Linked DNA regions of Drosophila melanogaster. The protein of the gene in region 1 interacts with the protein of each later gene in a pairwise test. Each region holds a gene or a part of one and is shown on either strand. Other genes may lie near its edges.

Region 1 (7,724 bases):
TCATCAAGCTGAAGTAAATGTTCACGTGTTTCGTAATTGACAAGAATAAAATTTAAATGTACGCATTTTAATGTCAACTCTGATCCTCCGCCACAATGTCCTGCTTGATGAGAAGCTCCTCCACGTAGCCGTCGATGGGGCAGCTTTTGGCGCAAGTGTAGACGGCCAGGACGCCCCAGTCGAGGTTTTCGTCCTCCAGAAGAGTCAGCGCTTGCGGCATAATCTGAAATTCGAACTGACGCTCTCCTCCGCAAGCAATGCAATTGGGCAGCTTGTTAAGTTGGTCCTCCACCGTTTTGACGGTATTCGTGATCCAGAGGGGCTGGCCTCCACGTTTGTAGCGCACGATCTGATCGGGTTCGGCTGCTGTTTGCTTTTTGAACTGACGAAAGGTCTTGTCATCGGCGGCCGCCGAGTTTCCGAAGTACTTGTCCATCTCCGCCTCGGAAACATTGCTCAAGTCGCCCGTCTTCCCGCTGGACTCCAGCTCCTGGAACTCCGCCAAGCGAGCCTCATCGTCCTTGTCCTCCTCGCCAGACTCCACGGGGTTGCTGTCCATTACAATCTCAAATTCTGGGAAAACGATTTGTGTTAAGGGCTTCTCAGTGGCTACTTCTGGTGCTCCGCAGTTTGGCTTGTGTTGTGGCCAGTGGGCCCTTTGATGCTCTGGTGAGCAGTAGTGGATTGCCTTGCATTTGCTGCAGGCGTGAGGAGCATGGCAACCGCAGGCGGCGCATAGTTTCTTTAGGCAGGGAACGGCGGGCTAAGAAAACATATTATGATGAGTATGTTCTGAAAATATGGCTGCTGTTCCTACCAGGGGTTGACCCACGTCGCTCGGCTCCTCCTCCGAAAAGAACTTATTTTTTCGCGGCAACTGTGACCTGAGGACTGTGAAATTGCTGGAAAGATGGGTAAGATTAGGTTGCAAGTTGGTTTTCAGAGCTAGAAGGGATTACCTTGCATTTTGGGCCTCCTGGCAGTCGGAATTCCGGCACAGGAACACATAGATGGACCGATGAAAGTTGTACTCGTCTTCGAAGGGAGCGTATAGCTGAGCCAGGAAGGATTTGGGTGCCCTGCACTTGCTGCACTGCAGCTGCGACGTGGGCGGCAAGGCCTCCAGTTCCAGCCATGCGGGCTGGCCTCCCAGCTTGCTGGGAAAGTAGCGGTTGCTCAGCCAGGCGCCATTGTCGCTCTTTTCCGCAAATCCCAAGTCAATCTCCATTTCTTTCAATCTCCGAAACGAAACTCGTGTTCAGTGTGACCGCAGCGGGAGCGCCAGAAAATACCTCTACAAATTCCGAAATAACGTTGTATAATAACTGATATTTTCGGGGAATCACACTTTTTGGGTGTTATAATTTAAAATTTAAATTAATTACATTCGTTTAATTTGTTGATTTCGGCAGTTCAATAAAATAAAATATTCTTTTCTTCATTGAATATTTGCGATTACTCTTATAAACATAAGGGGGAAACATAAGATTTTAATTTAATGACATTAATCTGGAAGAATAACAAATCTCATTATCCTGAGCCCTTAAAAATGGCAAGCGGTTCAAAATTATAGAGCGAGGATTAATCAGATAAGGCCCCTCTTCTACGCCACTGATAATAAAGCTTGCATGCCATGGATTTGGTATTTTCCGCGAGTTCCTCCATGGCGATTTCCCAGATTTTGGCCACTTCAGTATGCGGTTATTTCTCACGGTTAAAAGTTCTGCTCTCCGAGTTGATTAAACTGGCTAAAGTGATATTTTATTTACTGTTGTGATAAACGCGTGTGAAAAACAAAGACTTTCCATTGCCCGCGGACACAAACGATCACGAACCGAAGAGTGAACCGCTCAGAAACGGGGGGAAAACCAGTTTTCCCACGATTTGATGTGATTGTGAAAGCGCAACGAGATTTGTCAACGCAAACAAGCAAGAAGAAGAGCCCGTGGATAGCGTAATATTTGTTAATAATAACGGCTGCAAAAACAACAACATTGCGGAAGCAGAATCTCCGACTTGTCGCGTTTCCGTCGCAGCAGCGCTAAAAATAAACCCACCCACGCACCGCCCCCTCTCGAATCGCCAACCACCCACTCCCGCCCACCATCCACCTACCACCACCTTCCGCCCACACCCACGCACGAATTTGGAGAGGTGAACTTGTGTTGACTTTTCCAGCGCGCGGACTTTTCCGAAGAAAAATGCAAAAATGAGAGCCGAGCCACCAGCGGACCACTGGGAATTTGCGTAAGTCCAAGGCGGATGCTTCCTGGTTTCGAATTACAGGGTATCACGTGCGCTGCTGCGAGCTAGTGAACAAGAAGGCACCAGATGTTTGATGGAGTGCACATAGAGAAAAGTTTGTGTAGGAACTATTAGGTGTCCGGTACAGGGTATCTCCGCTTCGATGCCCCTGGCAGTGGCTCGCTTTCTGGCTGCCAAAGAACGAGCCGGGTGAGCTTTTATTTGCTAAATTTAGTGCCGCATTGCTGAAAATAAGAATGGGAGCACCCTGCCATCGGTTGCCGGTAGGCAGACTCATATATATGTATATGTATATGCATAATCGCCCCTGACGGCCAGTGTGTGGTTCGGTGGATCTTTGTCCAGGGCACATGGCCCGAAACTGTTGCATGGCCCATCCTCGTCCTGGCCAATCGATGCCTTCGATGCCGACTTCGACTTGGAGTGCTGCCTGAATCAATAAACGCCTCAAATCCCTGCCATATTGCGTCCATTGTAATGTCAGCACATAAATTCTCTGCCCATCGAGGGGCATTTTCACTCGGCTGCAGGCATTCGGTAGTGGTATGTACGCTATGTGTCCTGGCCAGGCAATAAATATTGAAAATTCAATTAGCAGACGGACGGGCAGCCGAAATGCTATGAATTTATCACCACCTGAGTGCGAATGTGCCTGTGGTACTCATAGTAAATAAGTAACTTCATTGCCATTCGGCCCACTCCACTTGCTCCACCTGCATGCTGGCTATTGATTTTAATCCGCCCTGCAATCATCTTGCTTCATTTGGCCGCTGAATTTATGGGTTCCCACGAAAGCTCCACTTTCTTCGGCCCGCTTTCCCATTTCCCCCACTTCACATTCCCATTCCCACCAACAATGTGTGCTGTTTCGGCGCTGGAAAACATTAATTAAAATTCACTGGACTGGGAAAGCTATCAGTTGCATGCATATTCAATTGATTCATTATTACAGGACATCATACATGTAATGCTCAGCTCATTAATCGGTTGACAGTGCGTTCCTTCGACTGACTGTTTAAATTCCCATTTCAATATTGTTGTTAACTAGTAGTATGTATGTACGTACATATGTACATATGCTTATGTACGACTTGAACCCAAGCAACTAAATAGGAAATTGTCAGTATGTGTAGCGTCGAAATTATTGCATAAGTAAATAAATTATAGAGGATGAGAAGGGAAGTCAGTTTATGTGGCTTGCATAAGTTTGTTTTGATATATTTGATAATTATACGCTTATCACTGCCAATGTTGTTCTCTCCGCACACCGCGTTTATTCGACTCCTCTTGTCACCACTTCGCCGTTTGCTCAGTTGCACTACACTTGTTTATCCACGCCCGCCTTGCTGCTCATTCGCATTCTGATTGGAGCGCCGAACGCCAAGTGAGTCACTCCCCAAGGTTGCTCAGCGTAGTGCCTCTCCGGTGTTCTCAGTATCGAATGCCAAAGGCCAATGGACGATCTCTGGCTCCACGATAGCCGATATCAATATCGAGTTAGCCAGTCAAGTGGCTCGGTTCTCCGGCTGGCGAGGGGGGAGATAAGGGCAAGCGATGCAATCGCGAGGCTTCTGGGTTCCTATCGAGCACTTGTGGGCTTTCCTTCGGGTCAGCGAGCAGATGATACCCAGTTGGGAGTAGTATTTGCCAGGTAAAGCTCATAGATAGTAAAGGGCTGGAGCTTGCTTTCCGGTTATCTATTATCATCACAACAAGTGAGCTCCATTATTGCGCTCACTTTATTTACTCTACTTATTTTCGCGTATATTAGGTAAGCCTGGAAATTGTACATGATTAGCATTTCTGACCTTATGACTCACCGAAGCAAAGCTACGAGCAGCCCCACATTTAGTTGATTTCTATACAATTCGCTATCTTTTATTTCAAAAATAAACCTTAGATTAGATACGCCTTTGCAAATAAACAAAGTATGCTGCAGAGTCTTCCTGGATCTCCACCTAGCAATCATAATAAAGGGCTTCCAGTTGGTTTGAAACCCCATAGATGGACTCTACTTAGTGTTTGGTCATGGTGATAGTTTTAGCTTTGTAATTTCTATTAACAAAAAAAAATTTGTATTTATTGTAAACGAAATCCCCTGAAACAGCTTTTCTCCCAGCCAATGAATCAGCTTCCACTGCATCGGGGAGCACAGTAGACGTAATCACAAGTGAGCTTTTTGTTGTCAACTGTTTTTGTCCGCGAGGGGCAAGTACTGGTTGCTTAGGTGCTCCGCTGGCTGGGAGGAAACTGATAAGGACTCGGGAATGCCACTATCGATGACGGGCCCCAATGGAGCCTATTGTTTGCTCTTATCTGTCCAGTTATTGTTACTCCATTCGAGCCCAGTTGGTTGTTTATTTGTTTGTTTGCTGCATGCCGCGACGGCGTGCGTCATGCGGGGAAGGATGTGATTCTGGTGATTCATGCCAGAGAAGTGCATCCCCACCCAACCCCTGGTGGAAAATCAATAGCCATGGTGGCGCGCTCTGGGCTCTCGAGATGTTCGCCGTAGTGTAACCTTGTGTTCTTGTTTTGCAGGAGCCGGAGGCGCCTTGAATGAGAGTCCTTAGCCCGAGATGTCGGATTTCGTGCCGCACGACCTCATCCCCGATCTGTGGGATGAGATTCTCCGGCGCCACTGGATGTTTCTCGAGACGGAGGAGAGCATAGAGAAGCTCGAGGAACGCAAGCAGCTGGAGGGTGAGTTCGCCGCCTTGTCCTTGTCCTAAATGGAAATGGAACTAATCAATCCGCGCTTACAGGCTGCCTGAAGGAGTTCCTCTGCGTGGTGCAGCACGATCGCAAGTTCTTTCTGCCGGAAACTGGGCATGTCCTGCGGAGGTCTGTGCTCGAGCTGCCCGACTTTTCGGCCCAGAACGCCATCGTAGCCTTCGAGACCATCAGCCAGTATGCCAACAATCTGTTTACGAAGCCATGGCGAAAGGAGTATCGAACTCTCAAGGTGGATATAGGATGATGACGTATACTAAATAGCCACTTCTAACTGAATAATCCTCCTTTCTGCAGACCTATTCGGGATGCTTTCAGCACGACATCCAATCCCGCCTGCTGGACGCCGAACAGCTCTTCCTGGCCATGGGCTATCGCCGGGCTGCCGAGGACACCTTCGTCCTCGAGGGTCCCATCTGTCCGGATCAGGTTACGAATGTTTCGCGCGACGCAATGGCCGCCTACGTGGAGTGCCAGATTATGAAGCACATCTACGCGGGAGTGACGGCAGCGGGATACGTCTGCACTTGGAAGGACATCCTACAGTTCCGCGAGCGTTACGTGGGTGGAACTTCCACGACCATCAAGGAGATGGTCAGGCAGCTGAGTGAGAAACGGGTACGAATGGAGCAGCCACCGATGCAGGAGAATACATATAGCAATGTGGTGAGTGCTGCTCCAACTGCCTGCGGCATGCGCAGCAACAACGTTGCCCATCATCCCAGCAGTTCCGGCACTTGTGCCCTGCATCCCAATGGGCTGAACGAGGCGGGTAAGTATCTGCCGCCTTACCCAGCGCCTCCGCCGCAGCAACCGCACCTGCCTGGTCCGCTGATGACGCATTCTCGCAGCCTGGATCACTACCAGGAACCGCAGGCCCATCTGCCTCACCGTCACTCCTTCGATCAGCAGCTCCAACAGCAGTGCCAGCTGCCGCACGTCTACGAGGCGCCCTATGACTGCTTAGATGGCCTGAGCATGGGCAGCAGTGCGTCCTACGCTGCCGTGACTGGAGCCTACAATGCACCGGGAAACCGCTATCCGCTGCCGTACAACATCTCCAGCCAGCTGAATGCCCCGTATGCGTCGCCCGCCGACTTCTATGGCAATGGACAGCACACCAACATGTACGCCACGCTGGGAAAGACGGGCCCAGCCCACAGCTGCGATTTGCACCGTCGCCAGCCGAACACTTCTGCTGCTGCCGCTGCTGCCTTGGCGGCTATGCAGCACCGTCAGAGCACCTATCCGCCGGATCACCACCTCATCGACTTTGACGAGCGAGCGCATCTGACCCAGCATGACTTTGGGACGCATGACTACGATCCGCAGTATGCCGAGCTGAGAGGTCAGGTGCAGCCTAGCATGCGGGGGAATCCGGTAGCCATGTATGCCACCTACGGGGGCTACGACCTGCCCACCACGCTACCGCAAGCGCCGCCGCCGACCGGCCAGGATATGTACATCTATGCGCGGCCGGTTCCGAAGAGCAGCCGTATGCGGGCTTTGGCCGAGGCGGGTGGCATTAATTCGACTGACAAACATCCGCGATCAGCGGAAAAGCAAGTAAGTTCTAACAACATCATCATACTTATATAATGGTTACATATCGTTGCCTACTCCTTTTAACAGAGCACCATGGACAATAATCGCAAGATGCACAAGGAATTGAAGGAGCGGAATAGTCGGACTGCACCGGCCAAGAGGTCCGGCACTGAACGTGATATACCCACCACCATTTCGGACTTGAACAGTTACGACTCGGCTAGTCTGGACGGATTTGTGGCCCTGGACAGTAGTAGCTCGCCGCCTCTCATGCCCAAAGTGCAGGAGGGTGTCGGCAGTTTCGAGTCCTGGAACTATGTATTCAAGAACCTCGAGCGATCGGGCTACACAAAGGACCTGGGTGACCGCGAGGACTTGCTGGTGCAGAGCTTGGACCTAGGCTCGCTGTCCATAACGAACGGCGGTGCAGCTCCTCCGGCGGAGAAGCGCCGTGAGGCCACGAATCCCACAAACGGAGAGAAGGCGCGAACGCTAGATAAAAAATCCGGTACGGGGCGACGCGAGGCTAAGGTGGTGCAAGCTCCTGCACCCAGTCCTCTGCCCAATAGCAGCAGTGCCGGCGTTAAGAAGGTCAAGTCCGCCTTGAAGACGGCCGTCGTGGACAATCGGGGAACCGGGTCAAGGCAACGCACAGGAGCTGTGCCCAAGCAGCCGCCGAATGTGTCTCCCCAGCTGATTGTGACCAGTCCGAACGAGTGGAGCTGCAGCTTCTGCACGTTCCTCAATCCGGACACGAAGCGCATCTGCGAGATGTGCTGCCGCAGCAAGGACTTCAACCTGGAGGCCGCATCGGCGGCTTCCTCCTCGGCGGCTGCAGCTGCGGCGTCAGCGGCCAGTGTGTCGCACGCATCCTCGACCTGCGTGTAGGATGCAGTGGATGCAACGGAACCCTCGTTAGTGATACAAACAGTGTATAGCTTCATATATTTTTTATACGACCAATGTAAGCCTGTGCGCGTGTCTCTAAGATCTAGTCTCGATCGAAGTCGTCGTTCGATGGCAGGCAGCCCTTTGTCATCCGCATTCGGCTCCTTGGATGAGCGGATGGCGCTGCAGACGGGATGGGTCTGCAGTCTGTACATACGAAGTATTCTAATTAGTTACCCCTACTCGTAAACACACGCTTTAATTAGTTTTAGATTGTTTCCCATTGTTAAGGG
Region 2 (3,630 bases), on another chromosome or scaffold:
CGGCCGCCAGTGCCAGTGCCAGTTTTCGCATTTCGGATTCAGGCCGACGAAAAAACTGAGCAAATGGATTTTCCTGTGGTCAAGCTGAAAGCAGGGCAAAGGTGGACAATTAAATTATTATTGCCGCGATATTTAGTCGTGTAAACAACATTAATGTGTCGAAAATAATAACCACTACCATATTCTTTTAAAACTTTTACTTTTACTTAAACTGAAATCCTCTGTAATGTATGAAATTCTCCATATGTGCTTTCTTTTTAAGTGCACCTCATTTAGGAGCTGCTACCTTTAAGAAATTTTCCTTTCCATACCAATTTTCTTTTGGGTAGTGGCAACCAAGGAGCGGATCAATGTGTGTCAATGGGCCTGTTGCCTCCAATTGAATCCACCTGTCCGCTGGCGGAGTGCCGAGCTGCATGCCTGACATGCAGCAGAATATGCCAAGTCATTTAGATGGAATCGCTCACATTTTTAATGACAACTAATGCGAGTGCCCTGCACCACCACCACCAACAACATCACCATCAGCACCACCCTTCGCCAACCTAGTTTTTGGGCCCGGCTTAATCACATTTCCAGGAGCTCTCTTTCGGGCAAAAGTGTGTATGTCTAATGCGCAAAACTTTTAATTGAGTTTAAAATTGCATGAAGAAGGGACGAACCGAAGGTCCTCTGCCAATGGAAATCGGCAAGCGTAATTAAACGCGAGTGCGTGTGTACATATGTATATGCGCGCTGTTTTTGAAGTGTGTCGGTTTCAATCTCGGTAAATTGCCCATGAAATATTAACTCAACCATAATGAGACGCAATTTGCGTATCTTTCGCAGTTTTGCCAACGAAATTTGTGGCAGGCGTGTAAAATGCCACACATTTGTGCAAGACAAAGGTTGTACCATTTGAATTATAAATGCTGTGGTTTTATGTCTTTGACCTTTTTACCACCTGATCGCATCTGATGCACCTGTCCGCTCAAAATACAATGGCAAAAAAAAAAAAGGAAGCGCCATAATCCTGCTTATTCCGCGCTCAAAGGACACTTTCTGTGACCCAATTATGGCCATGAAATTGTGACACATTGAGGCCTCGCTGCATTCGCCCTCGTCTTTGTACATTCCCTATAATCCAGTGCGGAATGAAAAATGACTCAATTTGCAATGGCCGGCGCACAACAGCACACCTTATAGCGGAACACAATCCCCCCAATTGCCACATATAGTGACCCATCCCATCCCATTCCATCCAGCACCAGTGTCATTATTTTCATTTCCACCGCAGCCACAGCTGCTTAATAAGAAGTAATTCTACCTTCCACACGGTTAGTTAGTGGAAAATGTCTTGGCTTATGGGTGGAAATTCCCCCCCTTTTCTTCGCATCGACAAATGGCTTTTTGGTGGCATGGCACGAAAAAAAATCGAAGTGAAAATGTATGGATCGCATTTTCCGACTGCCAGATATCCGCTATTGAGATTCACAACATGGTGCACCATGCACCATGTCAAAAGTTGTTTAATTGGAATTCTCACTGGCGTGAACACTACGTGCATACGCGTTCAACACGATGCGTATAAAACAATTTACAAGCGGCAGAATCGATGTTTTATTGCCATGCTGGCGATTTGCAGTTCAAGTGCAGCGCGCAAAAACTTGAACTTTTGTCATAAAAGTTGGAATAGTTATACTGACCGATTGGTGAGTGGAAAAAAACGGCTTAGTGTTTCTGGTAAAAAAAAAAAAACAAAAATATTGTCTTATTGGCTTAGTATATATGCTCTGAGTACTGTGTGTACTGAGCAAGTGTATACGTACTATTGCAAAATTAGAATTTATGTTAATGCCGCTCTTCTTTATGCTACGCGACCAGCTCGCATTTCCAATTCAATGGAAGCGCATTTGGTTGAACATAAAAGACTGAACTCTGATTAGTTGCCAGTGAAACATTACCTCGAGTGGAAGCGGATTGACTTTAGATTTTCGTTTAGAATGGCCGATTTACTCAATGGAACCCTAATCATTTCGGAGGATCCTGTCCGCCTGCCACTCATCGGAAGTCCATGGCCATCGCTGACCATCGTTTCGCTCTATCTGCTGTTTGTCTTGAAGTTAGGCAGGAAGTTCATGGAGAACAGAAAGCCCTACGATCTCCGCAGAGTCATCAGGGCATACAACATTATGCAGATTGTCTACAACGGCGTTATTCTGATAGCGGTAGGTACATAGAACCCAGACGGTCATAAGTCACTACAGAATGCACCATTCTGCATAATCATTAATGTGACATAAAAATCAGATGATCTTATAAACTTAACTCAATGATCTTAATAAATCTTAAAATGATCTTAATAAATTAACATAGAGGCAACATAAAAATATAGACTGTGTTCCATACTTACCACATCCTTTGCTTCCAGGGTCTTCACTTTTTGTTCGTCCTGAAGGCCTACGACCTGCGATGCATCACCAAACTGCCGCTGGATCACGAGCTGAAGAGCCGAGAAAGATGGTTGACCTACTCGTACTTCTTCAACAAGTTCATGGATCTGCTGGAGACTGTGTTCTTTGTGCTGCGCAAGAAGGATCGCCAGATATCCTTCCTGCACGTCTTCCACCACCTGGTGATGTCCTTTGGCGGATACCTGCACATTACCTTCAACGGCTATGGAGGCACTCTGTTCCCATTATGCCTGCTCAATGTGGCGGTCCATGTGATCATGTACGCCTACTACTACCTGTCCTCCGTCAGCAAGGATGTGCAGACGAGTCGGTGGAAGAAGTACATCACCATTGTCCAGCTGGTCCAGTTCATCCTGGTGCTGGCGAACTTTAGCTACACCCTGATGCAGCCCGATTGCAATGCCTCCCGAACTGTGATATATACTGGCATGTTCATTTCCACGACCTTCATCCTGATGTTTGCCAACTTCTACATTCACAACTACATACTGAATGGAAGCAAACAGAAGAGCGCGTTGAAATCCGATTGAGGCCGCAAATCCTTTGAATGACGGTGACTGTGTGTTTCGCGATACCGACTAACTAATAAACTTGCATTGGAGCACTCAGCACCAAGACTCTACTGGGCACCGTATTCACAGCTATCTCAGCACTAGCCCTGGCCAAGTTACTCGCTAGTCTTTTAATATCTTGAAGTCACTTAGCATATCCACGAGTTGTGGTACTTGAAAATCAAAGCGTGGATAGAACGCTTCCCGAATTCCCATTTAAAATGCACACTACGGCATACGAATGTAAATGCTCCATTTAAAGAAACATTGTAACAATTTGTGCCACTTAAGGTCGAGAGCCTAATTTCGAGTTTGGATTAGTCACTATCAATCGCACAACTCGATTAGATTCGCCATGTTCGCTCCGATAGATCCTGTAAAGATACCCGTTGTAAGCAATCCATGGATAACCATGGGCACATTGATTGGCTATCTGCTGTTTGTGCTCAAGCTGGGCCCCAAAATCATGGAGCACCGAAAGCCCTTCCATTTGAATGGCGTCATCAGGATCTACAACATATTCCAGATCCTTTACAATGGTCTAATACTCGTTTTAGTAAGTATTTGAACTGGGGCTTCTGGACATCTGCAGGTTCTGATGGGAGGATGCTACTTTTACAGGGAGT
Region 3 (3,859 bases), on another chromosome or scaffold:
TGTTCATTTACAATACATTCTCGAGTACTCAAAAGTCCGTGGCTTTATATTTATATGTACTCTAAGACCAATAAAGAGATTTGCAAGACTTATTCTTAACCATAAGCCTATGCGTATATTTGCAAGCTATTCAGTACCAGGTTGGAATCTGCTACCTTCAAGTGCAGACAGTTCTTGAGCAAGCGCATCGCGTCCAGGTTGAGATCTGGATCTCGCAGAGCGAAGAGCTGGTTTAGGGTTTGCACAAGATTCTGCGGGTCTGCCAGTGCGAATATTAGACTTGTGTCACCTAGGGCTACCAGATTGGTCATTACACGCACGGCGTAGATTAGGCACAGCCGGTCGGCTGGCGATGCTAAGGTGGCTTCAAAGAAACGCACCAGGCATTCGGCCTGTTGAGCATCTAACTTGTGCTCCTGTGTCACTATTTCCAGTTGGTGCACTATGTACATGAAGTACTCGCTGGCAGGCTGGCCGTGGAGCTTCTCAGGCAGATTCTGGCCAATGTACCTTCGATCCTCGTCACTCACATGCTGCGGGCAGCGGGTGGCCACCAGGGAGAGGCAGATGGCCGCATCTTCTTGGCAGCCATTGGGCTCGATGTAGAGCCTCCACAGCTTGGGTACTATTTGCATTTGCAGCAATACGCTGCCGGCCTTGTCGCATGTGCCCAGAACGTTGGCCAGTGTCCACAGGCAACTGCGCTTGAGGCGTTCGGCCTTGCCATCAAGGTAGGTGACCATGTAGCTGCCCGCCAAAGTGACAATCTTTTCGGAGACATGGGCCTCGCCCAAGGAAAGATTACACAAGCACTCCACGGCATCTGTCTGTCGTTGAATGTGAGGTCCTGAAAGTCAAGTCAACCTTTTTATATAAAACTAAAGCTAATGAGGGTGCAGTTGGTTACCAGTTAGCTCCTTAACCAGAACCTGAATGGCGCCAGGAATAGCTGCGAATGCATTGATGTTGTCATTGCTCTGGAGGAACCCCAGCGACAAGCGGCACAGATCCTCGGAGGTGGCGTGCTTGCGACGCTTGATCCTGCTGGCCATTCCAATGACGTCCTTGGTGCCCATCTCAAGAGCCGCCACTTCCTGCTTAACCTGTCCAAGTCCAATGCGCAATGAGTCTTTCGCCTTTATGCGGCACTCAACACGGTGATCCTTGGCATATGCACGAATCTTGTTTCGCAGAAAACTTCCCTCCCCAGTTGTCGTCACAAAGTCCATTTGTTTAAATTTCATGGAATCCTTAGCAAGTGAGCAATATTCCGATAATAATAACAGATTATCGATAACTATGAAAGGTTAACAGCACTTCACTCATCAGCTGTTAAAATTGTAAACAAAAAAGGTACGCACTTGTTTGTTTATATTTTATTTGGAGTAAGTAATGCTTATTTAATTTCAGGTCAATGGTGGTAATCTGAGCCCGGAATCGATGGATAAACATATTCAGTGGCACCCAGGAACCCGATTTTTCATATGTGAATTTATTTTTATACTGGCAAAGAAGTTCGGCGAGGAGATTCATTTCCTTTTTGTGCCTTTTTAATTTAATTTTTCTATGATTTCCACGGAAAAAGTCCAGTGCTCCTTCTGTCCAAAATTATTCACCACTAGCTAGGCGAAAATGTGAAAAAACTATACGAAGATAAATGTTTGTTTTTCCAAAGAAATTTATTTCAATTTTATATTCTTCAACAGGTAAAGGATATCGATATCCGATAAGAATTTTCCCATCAAAACTTGGGCTGACCACCACAGGGCGACCCTTGCAAGTTTGCGTTTATCTCAGCTGTTAAATATGGTAAACACACCTTAGTTTCAAAAATCATCATTTTGATAAATAATTTGAATTTCGAACATCGATAATAAATCGATTTAGCATATGGCCCAGAGAATAGGGTGCCCAGTGTACTGTGCACAATGTGAAGTTTAGCTTATTATTATTTTGAATTGTTCATCAAGGCAATCGCATTAATTTTCAATTAATTGGGATGTATGAAACGGATTCCTAAATTATAAAAGATTGCTTTTCCAGCTATAAGCTATTTAGTATATACATCAGGTAAGTAATATAGTCCTTCATAAAGTTCAGCCTAATAAGTATTGTTTATTACAGGGATAATGGCGGAAATATGCCGAGTTTGTATGGATATTTCTGGTAAACTCGTTAACATATTTGACGCCAGACGAAGAACCAGAGTTTCCATTGCCGAGATGATCGCGCAGTGCACCGGATTCGAGGTCAAACGTGGCGATTTGTTTTCGGAAATGATATGCCCACAGTGCTATGAGGACGTAAAGAGCGCGTATGGGATAAGGCAAACTTGTGAGGAAAGCCACCAGTTCTACTGCCGAGTTCGCGATGAAGGCATCGAGGATGCTTTATGCGCCTTGCTCGAAGAAGAAGACTGGGAGATTTCGGAAGACGAAGATGCGCGGATTGATTCTGCATCCGCTGCTGATGACGATGGGAAAAGCGACAGCAAGAAGGTAGCATTCGAATGTCGAGAATGCCACAAGAAATACCAGCGAAAGGGAACTTTTCTGAGGCACATGCGAACACACATGGACGGACAATCCTTCCCATGCCCCTACTGCAAGCGGAACTTTAGACTTAGAGTCACTCTCAAGGCGCACATGAAGACCCACAATGCAGCGAAACCCTACGAGTGTTCCCACTGCGCCAAGACCTTTGCGCAGCAGTCCACTCTGCAGTCGCATGAGCGAACTCACACTGGCGAACGACCATTCAAGTGTTCACAGTGCTCAAAAACCTTTATTAAATCATCCGATCTCCGGCGTCACATCCGCACACATGGCAGCGAGAGACCGTTCAAGTGCTCCAAGTGCACGAAAACATTTACGAGGAAGTTTCACCTTGATAACCATTTCCGTTCTCACACTGGTGAACGACCATTCAAGTGTTCCCACTGCCCCAAGGCCTTCGCTATGAAGCAGCACCTCAAGCAGCACAGCCGCCTGCACTTACCAGATCGTCCATTTCGCTGCTCCCACTGTCCCAAGACTTTTCGGCTGAGCAGCACTCTCAAGGAGCACAAGCTCGTACACAACGCTGAAAGAACATTTAAGTGTCCTCACTGTGCCAGTTTCTATAAGCAGAGAAAAACACTTGCTAGACATATCCTCGAGATACACAAGTGACCACTACTTTAAAAACACTTGGAAGACATATCTTCCATGTGCACTACTTTAAAATGGACAAAAATGATTTTGCTAGATGATAAAATAAGCTAACATATTCATAGGTATTGTAAGAATAAGGCATAAAATTGGTTGGTAATGAATATGCCTATTTTGATATGTTTTATGATGGAATAAAATGTTATTTATATTTGATTGAACCAAAACAAAATTAATTAATCGACTCCCTCTCACGCTGCCAACACTGGCCATTTCTCGCATATCCAACTACAGATGATGATCAGCTGTTTGTTGTTTATGTGGGAGCGGCCTGAGAAATTGTAACAAAAAAATTTCGGAAAAGCTGAAAAAATGAACAATGATAATCCGAATATAGTTTTCAATCCCCTGATAAGCTCCATCCAAAAAGTAGTGCTCTATGAGACACGAGCGGTAAGAAATCACCTCCAGCTGACCTTTTTTTGACTAATCACATATATCGCCATAATTTCAGCGCCTCTATTTGGTGGGCAGCAACAATCGGGAGACTCGGTTTCGCCTCCTGACCATAGACCGACTTGCCCACAACCGGCTGAGTATCGAGGAGAATGCCAACGAGTTTAACAGCCTGGAGATCCGACGTTTTGTCGCTTCCCTTTCGGGTTCGCCCAAGGTGACGTCCGCTTATGGCGTCCTTGGATTTGTGCGCT
Region 4 (5,507 bases), on another chromosome or scaffold:
CAGTGTGACCGTTGATTGAACATGAAAAGAAATAGATTCTATGAGAAGTATTCAAAAAGCGCCGTTTCCACTTCAACATTCTGCGCCTGCACTGTGCTAATCTACATACATATGTACAAATATAAAAAAAAAATGATTGACAGTAACAGTACAAATTTCAAATAATAAATTTAGCAAAAAAAAAATTGTTGTTACTTTGAATGCATTTAAACTTTTATTGCCCAATCATCTCGTACACAGTACTTATGTATTTAATAATACTTTCACAACGTAATTTATTATTGGGATTCTTGCATTTATGGCCAATTGTTATAATGACCAAAAAAAATAAGCAAACAAACAAACCGAGTAATTGTAAGCAAGTATTGAAGATTTGCGTATTCTTGTAGGAAAAGTACATGGTTTTAAAATAGATCGGATGTATTTGACCAATAATAATTACTTTACATTATTATTTAGTTTAAGCTGTTAGCATTATGATTATGTCTTTTACGACCTTCGAGTTTATTATAAATTTTCATCTTATCTTTGCAATCACACGAATACCCAGTAAAAGTTTCCAGGTCGATTTTATTTATCTTATTAACAATACAGTAATTCCTTAAAGTACTGGGGCGACAAGAAACATAATTGAAATTTTTACGCAAGTTTTTAGTCATAATCCTTGTTGATAGCATACATCTACTGTAATTTCTTATGATTGCCAAAGTAAAATGAATAATGATTGAACGGCAAGAGTTTTTCAACCAAGGATAAAACTGTGGCATCTCCAAAGCGTAATTAAGTAAACCTATGTATAAATTGTATTTTGTTGACTATGTTATGACTAAAGATCCCACACGAGCCGATGCGTACCCCGAAATGAAAGAAAGCAGCTACTGCTTGGAAATCCCTCTCTATTAATACACGCCCTACTAGTACAGCACAACTTGGCAAATTGCGTGGTTAGATCATGTGCAGCTTCTGATCGTTGAGTTTGAATGCCGCCGCATCGCTATGGAGGTGAAAAGGCACAATATCACCTGTTGTGGCCATATCAAATGATGGTGACATAGACGTTGCCGTTGCAGTTGCCGGACTATTGCTGCCACTGGTATTTGCGATGCCCGCCTTGAGATGTAGGCTGTCCATGGACATTTGCTGAGACTGCGTGTGAGGAAGGGGATTGGTGTGGATATGCGGATGGGCTGGGGGATGAGTTATGCTCGCTGGGACGGTTGAGAGTTTTCCTGAGTTTGTTGTGATTATTATGTTTCCGGCATGGGAAGCACCACGTCCACGTTTCCGCTTCGGAAGAATTCCTTTTCGCGCCATATAGAAACGAATGGTTGAGACAGGAATATTGAACATATTGCTGACAGTTTGGAATGTCTCGCCCTTCGAAACACATTTGGCCGCTTGTGCTAGAGATGCTTCTGAACGTCGAACGCGCTTATATGAAGTATAACCATCGATCGAGCTATGGCTCAGTCCTCCGGAAGTATTGGCCGATGTATCGAGATCAGTGTCAAGGCTGAGGGATAGCCCGGATCCGCATGGCACTCCTGTCGCAAAACTGCTGTCATTGTTTTCATCATGAGCGGCCACATAGTTGTGGTCGTCCTCAACATTTGAATCCAAGTATTGCTGCTGCTGAAGCTGCATTTGCATCCTGTGAAAAGATATATATATTTATCCAGAGATACTTGTCATATTAATGCAAAAACAAACCTCGCCTGCTGCAGGGATAGGTGGACATTCATTTTGTTGTCAACGGCTTGCGCAGATATATTGCAATCATCGAATTGCTCCCCGTAGGCATTCCAATTGTTCGGCACCTCGTCGCCGGAGTCATCCTCGGTTGGTGCATTCGAGTGGCTGCCCAAAACGTTCGTAGAGGTGGCCTTAGATGGCTGTTGAGCATTACTGCCATTTATCTGGGGTCGCTGCTGCACCTGCTGCTGCTGCTGCTGTTGCTGCTGCTGCCGAGCATCGGGATTCTGGCGCTTCAATACTGTGGGTTGCTGATGGTTAACCGGTAGCGGTGGAGCGGAGGAGGTGGTCATTGTTGTTGAGGTGGTTGAATTAGTGGCTGCATCGTCCGTTTCCGCGCTGTCCACATGCTTGAAGCTTCGCGCTGTGGTTGCAGCTGGATCCTTAGCAGCCTCGAGACTCGCCTGCTGGAGTTTCTTGTAGTTTATCGGTGCCTCAGAGCCGTATAGACCGCGAATCTGCAGTTGTTCGGCACAGCGAAGCAACTGGCCAAGACCGGCTTGCGTGACATTGACCTCTCCCTTGTACATGAAGTCCACAAGCGCCTGGATCTCCCATAGCTTGATCTCCCTGGGCAATATGATGACCGGGTGCTTGCAAGGATGCTCCGCTAGTATTGCCTCAAAGTAGGTGGAACAAGCGGCCAACACCAGACGATGGCAGTGCACCTGTTGGCCTTCGCATGCGAGTGTTACATCCACGAATCTCTGGCCTGCTAGCAGCTGCGGAAAAGCAGCTCCAATGCTGCCCAAATGGCTGTTCCAGCGTACACAAAATTCCTGTGTAGCGCCGCTCATCGTACTCAAAATATAGTTCGCGCCTTTACTGTGCTCCTGAGTTTACGAAGCTATCGCTCATTTAAAGATCCTTGTATATCCTGCAATAGAGTGTTGGTAAATTCCAGGATAAATTATAACTATCGTCAATAGACAATAATTCGAATATATCATAAATTCGACTCTCTTGAATGAACTAAGAATAAGGATCAAGTAATTTGACCGAATCTTTCTCGTGACATCATAATTCTAGTAGGTTTCCCTTAAAAATATTGTATTGCATATTAAGTATATATATTATATGAACTCCTTTTGTTTGATTTTTGATATATGAAAAAAAAAGATACTTCTTTTTTTTGCATTGCATTAATATTTGCATTTCATTTAATAATGGATTAAAAGAAAGAATATTTTAGCCAAATATATGAGTTTAAAAATAGCATTGTCCCTTTTCCACTTTTTTGTATTGTTTTTGCATGACAGTTACGTTATTCCTAAGTTTTTATTTGCTTTCTTTTTAGCAGTTGACCACTGTATATACATACATACATACAAACACACGAGCGTACATACAGGTGCAGAGGTATATGCTTATTTACATTTGATAATCGTCCAAATAAATAATGTCCTCAGTGTGAAACTGAGGAGAAGACCATGCGAATTTTCACTTGCCATGTTTTATGTACCCACATACATACGCACGCTTGCATAAATACATATGTACACCTCCACTAGCGATTTGCACAATTGGAATTACTTCTATATTTAGTAATAAGGATGTAAACAGTTGAATGTACGCGTTATATACATGTACGCATCCCTGCGAATCTGAATACATACCTGTTTGTTTGCCAAGGAACCGAAACTTCGCTGATTATAGTTCTTTACTTCTCGTTTTTTGGGCGCTATGTAACACAATAGATGCGATGGCGTGAAAACGAACGAGAATTTTATGTTAGGACTGTATGTCCTGTGCGCGTGAGCTATGTATGAATGTATCAGCGCCGGAGTCTTGTTTAAAAATACACACTATTCTTGCATCAAATCGTGCACAACACAAAAAAATATGTACATTTCAGGCATTAACCAATGTCTCTATTTACAATCCCTCATCGTTGTCCGTGAGTCCCATTCAATTCGTTGCTTTATTAATGTTTATTTTAACCAGAAATGCTGCATGCGCGCGATTATATTTCCTTTTTTTATGTACAACTGTTTGTTTTGACAGACTATAAACAAATAAACGGCAAATTAAAGTGCCAAATCGATTTGCACGTTATGCGCTGAGTATCTGCCTTTTTTAACTCTGCCTTCAAGCTATATTTAAATTATAAACTTAATATTGTCTTTCGCGCTGTCTGCTTCTGTAGCAATCAATTGTTATTTAAACTACGCGTTAGGCATAATTGCTGGGAATTGCAAGCGTTTCATAAACGCGTTTCTGAGTAAATGATTCTCATGTACCGGGCTTTTTTTATATTAAAGTTTGTTGTTAATTTTTCAGTTACTTAATGCATGCAATCGATAAAATTTTTTTTAGCTGAATTATCGCGGAAACAAAACTATTTATATTGAAATATTAAAATATAGATAGGGATCGGTGGGATAACAGGTTTCATATGCGAAAAAATTCCAGTCGTTCCGCTTTTATATCCACTAAGCGAAAATTGCCGAACGCAAGCATATCGATCTTTAAATGTGAAAAAGCCAACCATAAGCTAACAGGATAAATATTAAATAATAGAATAGAAAATACAAATCAATATTTGAGGTAAGGCCGTTACAGGATATTTTTGAAGAATTATCGGTAATTATCGAAATGCCCTAAAAAGTGGAAACAGTGTATTAACGGATACTTTACAATGTATGTATCACTATTATACGTTGCATATATTTCTTCTATTGTCCTTTTGCTAATATATTATGTTGCATACAAAAACTTTAACCTATTCGGCAAAATATACAATAGCTCTTACATGACAAGTGTTTGCAGCTTAAAATTTGAAGTGTACATTTTTCGCTTTCAGTCGACTGGTCACACCGTTCAACCCAAACTGACTCGGGAATTTTAGGGTGAGTGCTTTTATTTTTATTTGAGGTCTAAAAAAAACTTATGGAAGTTTACCATTGGGCATCCGCATATGTGTGGTTATTAAGTGCTTGGCTTTGACATTGTAAATTGTGCAGTCATAACGCAGCCGGATCCAACCAGACATTGTTGAAATTCCCAGTTTTCTGCGTTTTTAGAAGTAAACAAATGCTGATGCCTTCCACAACTTACATATCTACATTCGTATATAGTATCAATGTCTAATATTAAAAAATATTGTAAAAAAATGAAGAAAACAGTTACACAGTAAGGTTTGCATATGATTTTGAATCCATTTACTGCTGCCATCTAAATGTACCGTTATGTGCTGTCTTTGCAACGATATCTGTAGGAATTCATTGTATTTTACGCATTTATTTGTTTCAAATTGGAGATCAAAAACTATCCCAAATGTATTGTAACTACACAGATGTAAAACGCACATTGGTATAATATAATAGATCAGAATGATAGTATAAGTCTAGTTAGGTGTCGAAAATGTTTTGCTACAGCATCCGCAGCTAAACTTACACTAGTTAACAAAAACGCAAATCCAAATCTAAAATAACTGCCCAAAAATTAATTTTATGTTGGCGAACCGAAAACTCAACCATTTTATTACTCATGCCGTTTCCCTAATATTTGCATTTCTCAGTAAATTTGCGCTCAGGCGGTTATCTTTAAAGACCCCTAAAACTGAATCTCATTGACAAATAAAAGCCTCGTAAGTCTGTGCCCAGTAAATCTTTATTTATTGGCCAATGCAATAATACTTTCGCACACAGTTGGATTTGCTTGATTATTTAATCAATTTTCTTTACGTACTATACGCTTCGGTCACTATGGAATTTAATAGAATATGGAATATGCGTTATAAAGTCGAGAGAAAA

The links.
Region 2: the proteins of tamo (region 1) and CG8534 interact in a two-hybrid assay, tested with the Drosophila melanogaster proteins (one large-scale study listed by BioGRID).
Region 3: the proteins of tamo (region 1) and Paris interact in a two-hybrid assay, tested with the Drosophila melanogaster proteins (one large-scale study listed by BioGRID).
Region 4: the proteins of tamo (region 1) and CG8924 interact in a two-hybrid assay, tested with the Drosophila melanogaster proteins (one large-scale study listed by BioGRID).

The regions. Positions count from the first base shown.
Region 1 is NT_033778.4:24,127,520-24,135,243, reverse strand, and holds the start of tamo (tamo), read left to right. Parts: upstream 1-1,692; 5' UTR 1,693-2,247; intron 2,248-3,404; exon of another isoform or gene 3,405-3,649; intron 3,650-4,806; 5' UTR 4,807-4,844; coding exon 4,845-4,968; intron 4,969-5,030; coding exon 5,031-5,230; intron 5,231-5,295; coding exon 5,296-6,564; intron 6,565-6,630; coding exon 6,631-7,431; 3' UTR 7,432-7,724. Other genes in the region: Naa35 (N(alpha)-acetyltransferase 35), read left to right, coding at 1-17; Zfrp8 (zinc finger protein RP-8), read right to left, coding at 74-763, 818-902, 960-1,228. UniProt on the Drosophila melanogaster protein: Has an essential role during oogenesis and embryogenesis, perhaps in modulating the levels of nuclear import of additional proteins. Modulates the nuclear import of dorsal (dl), Dif and male specific lethal 1 (msl-1).
Region 2 is NT_033777.3:9,810,823-9,814,452, forward strand, and holds CG8534 (uncharacterized protein), read left to right. Parts: upstream 1-1,924; 5' UTR 1,925-1,982; coding exon 1,983-2,207; intron 2,208-2,392; exon of another isoform or gene 2,393-2,410; coding exon 2,411-2,983; 3' UTR 2,984-3,117; downstream 3,118-3,630. Other genes in the region: eloF (elongase F), read left to right, coding at 3,360-3,560, 3,626-3,630.
Region 3 is NT_033779.5:4,461,717-4,465,575, forward strand, and holds Paris (parkin interacting substrate), read left to right. Parts: upstream 1-1,894; 5' UTR 1,895-2,070; intron 2,071-2,124; 5' UTR 2,125-2,129; coding exon 2,130-3,170; 3' UTR 3,171-3,359; downstream 3,360-3,859. Other genes in the region: CG15443 (uncharacterized protein), read right to left, coding at 108-847, 908-1,244; FIG4 phosphoinositide 5-phosphatase, read left to right, coding at 3,522-3,602, 3,664-3,859.
Region 4 is NC_004354.4:15,939,494-15,945,000, reverse strand, and holds CG8924 (uncharacterized protein), read right to left. Parts: upstream 3,925-5,507; 5' UTR 3,369-3,924; intron 2,630-3,368; 5' UTR 2,550-2,629; coding exon 1,711-2,549; intron 1,652-1,710; coding exon 946-1,651; 3' UTR 552-945; downstream 1-551.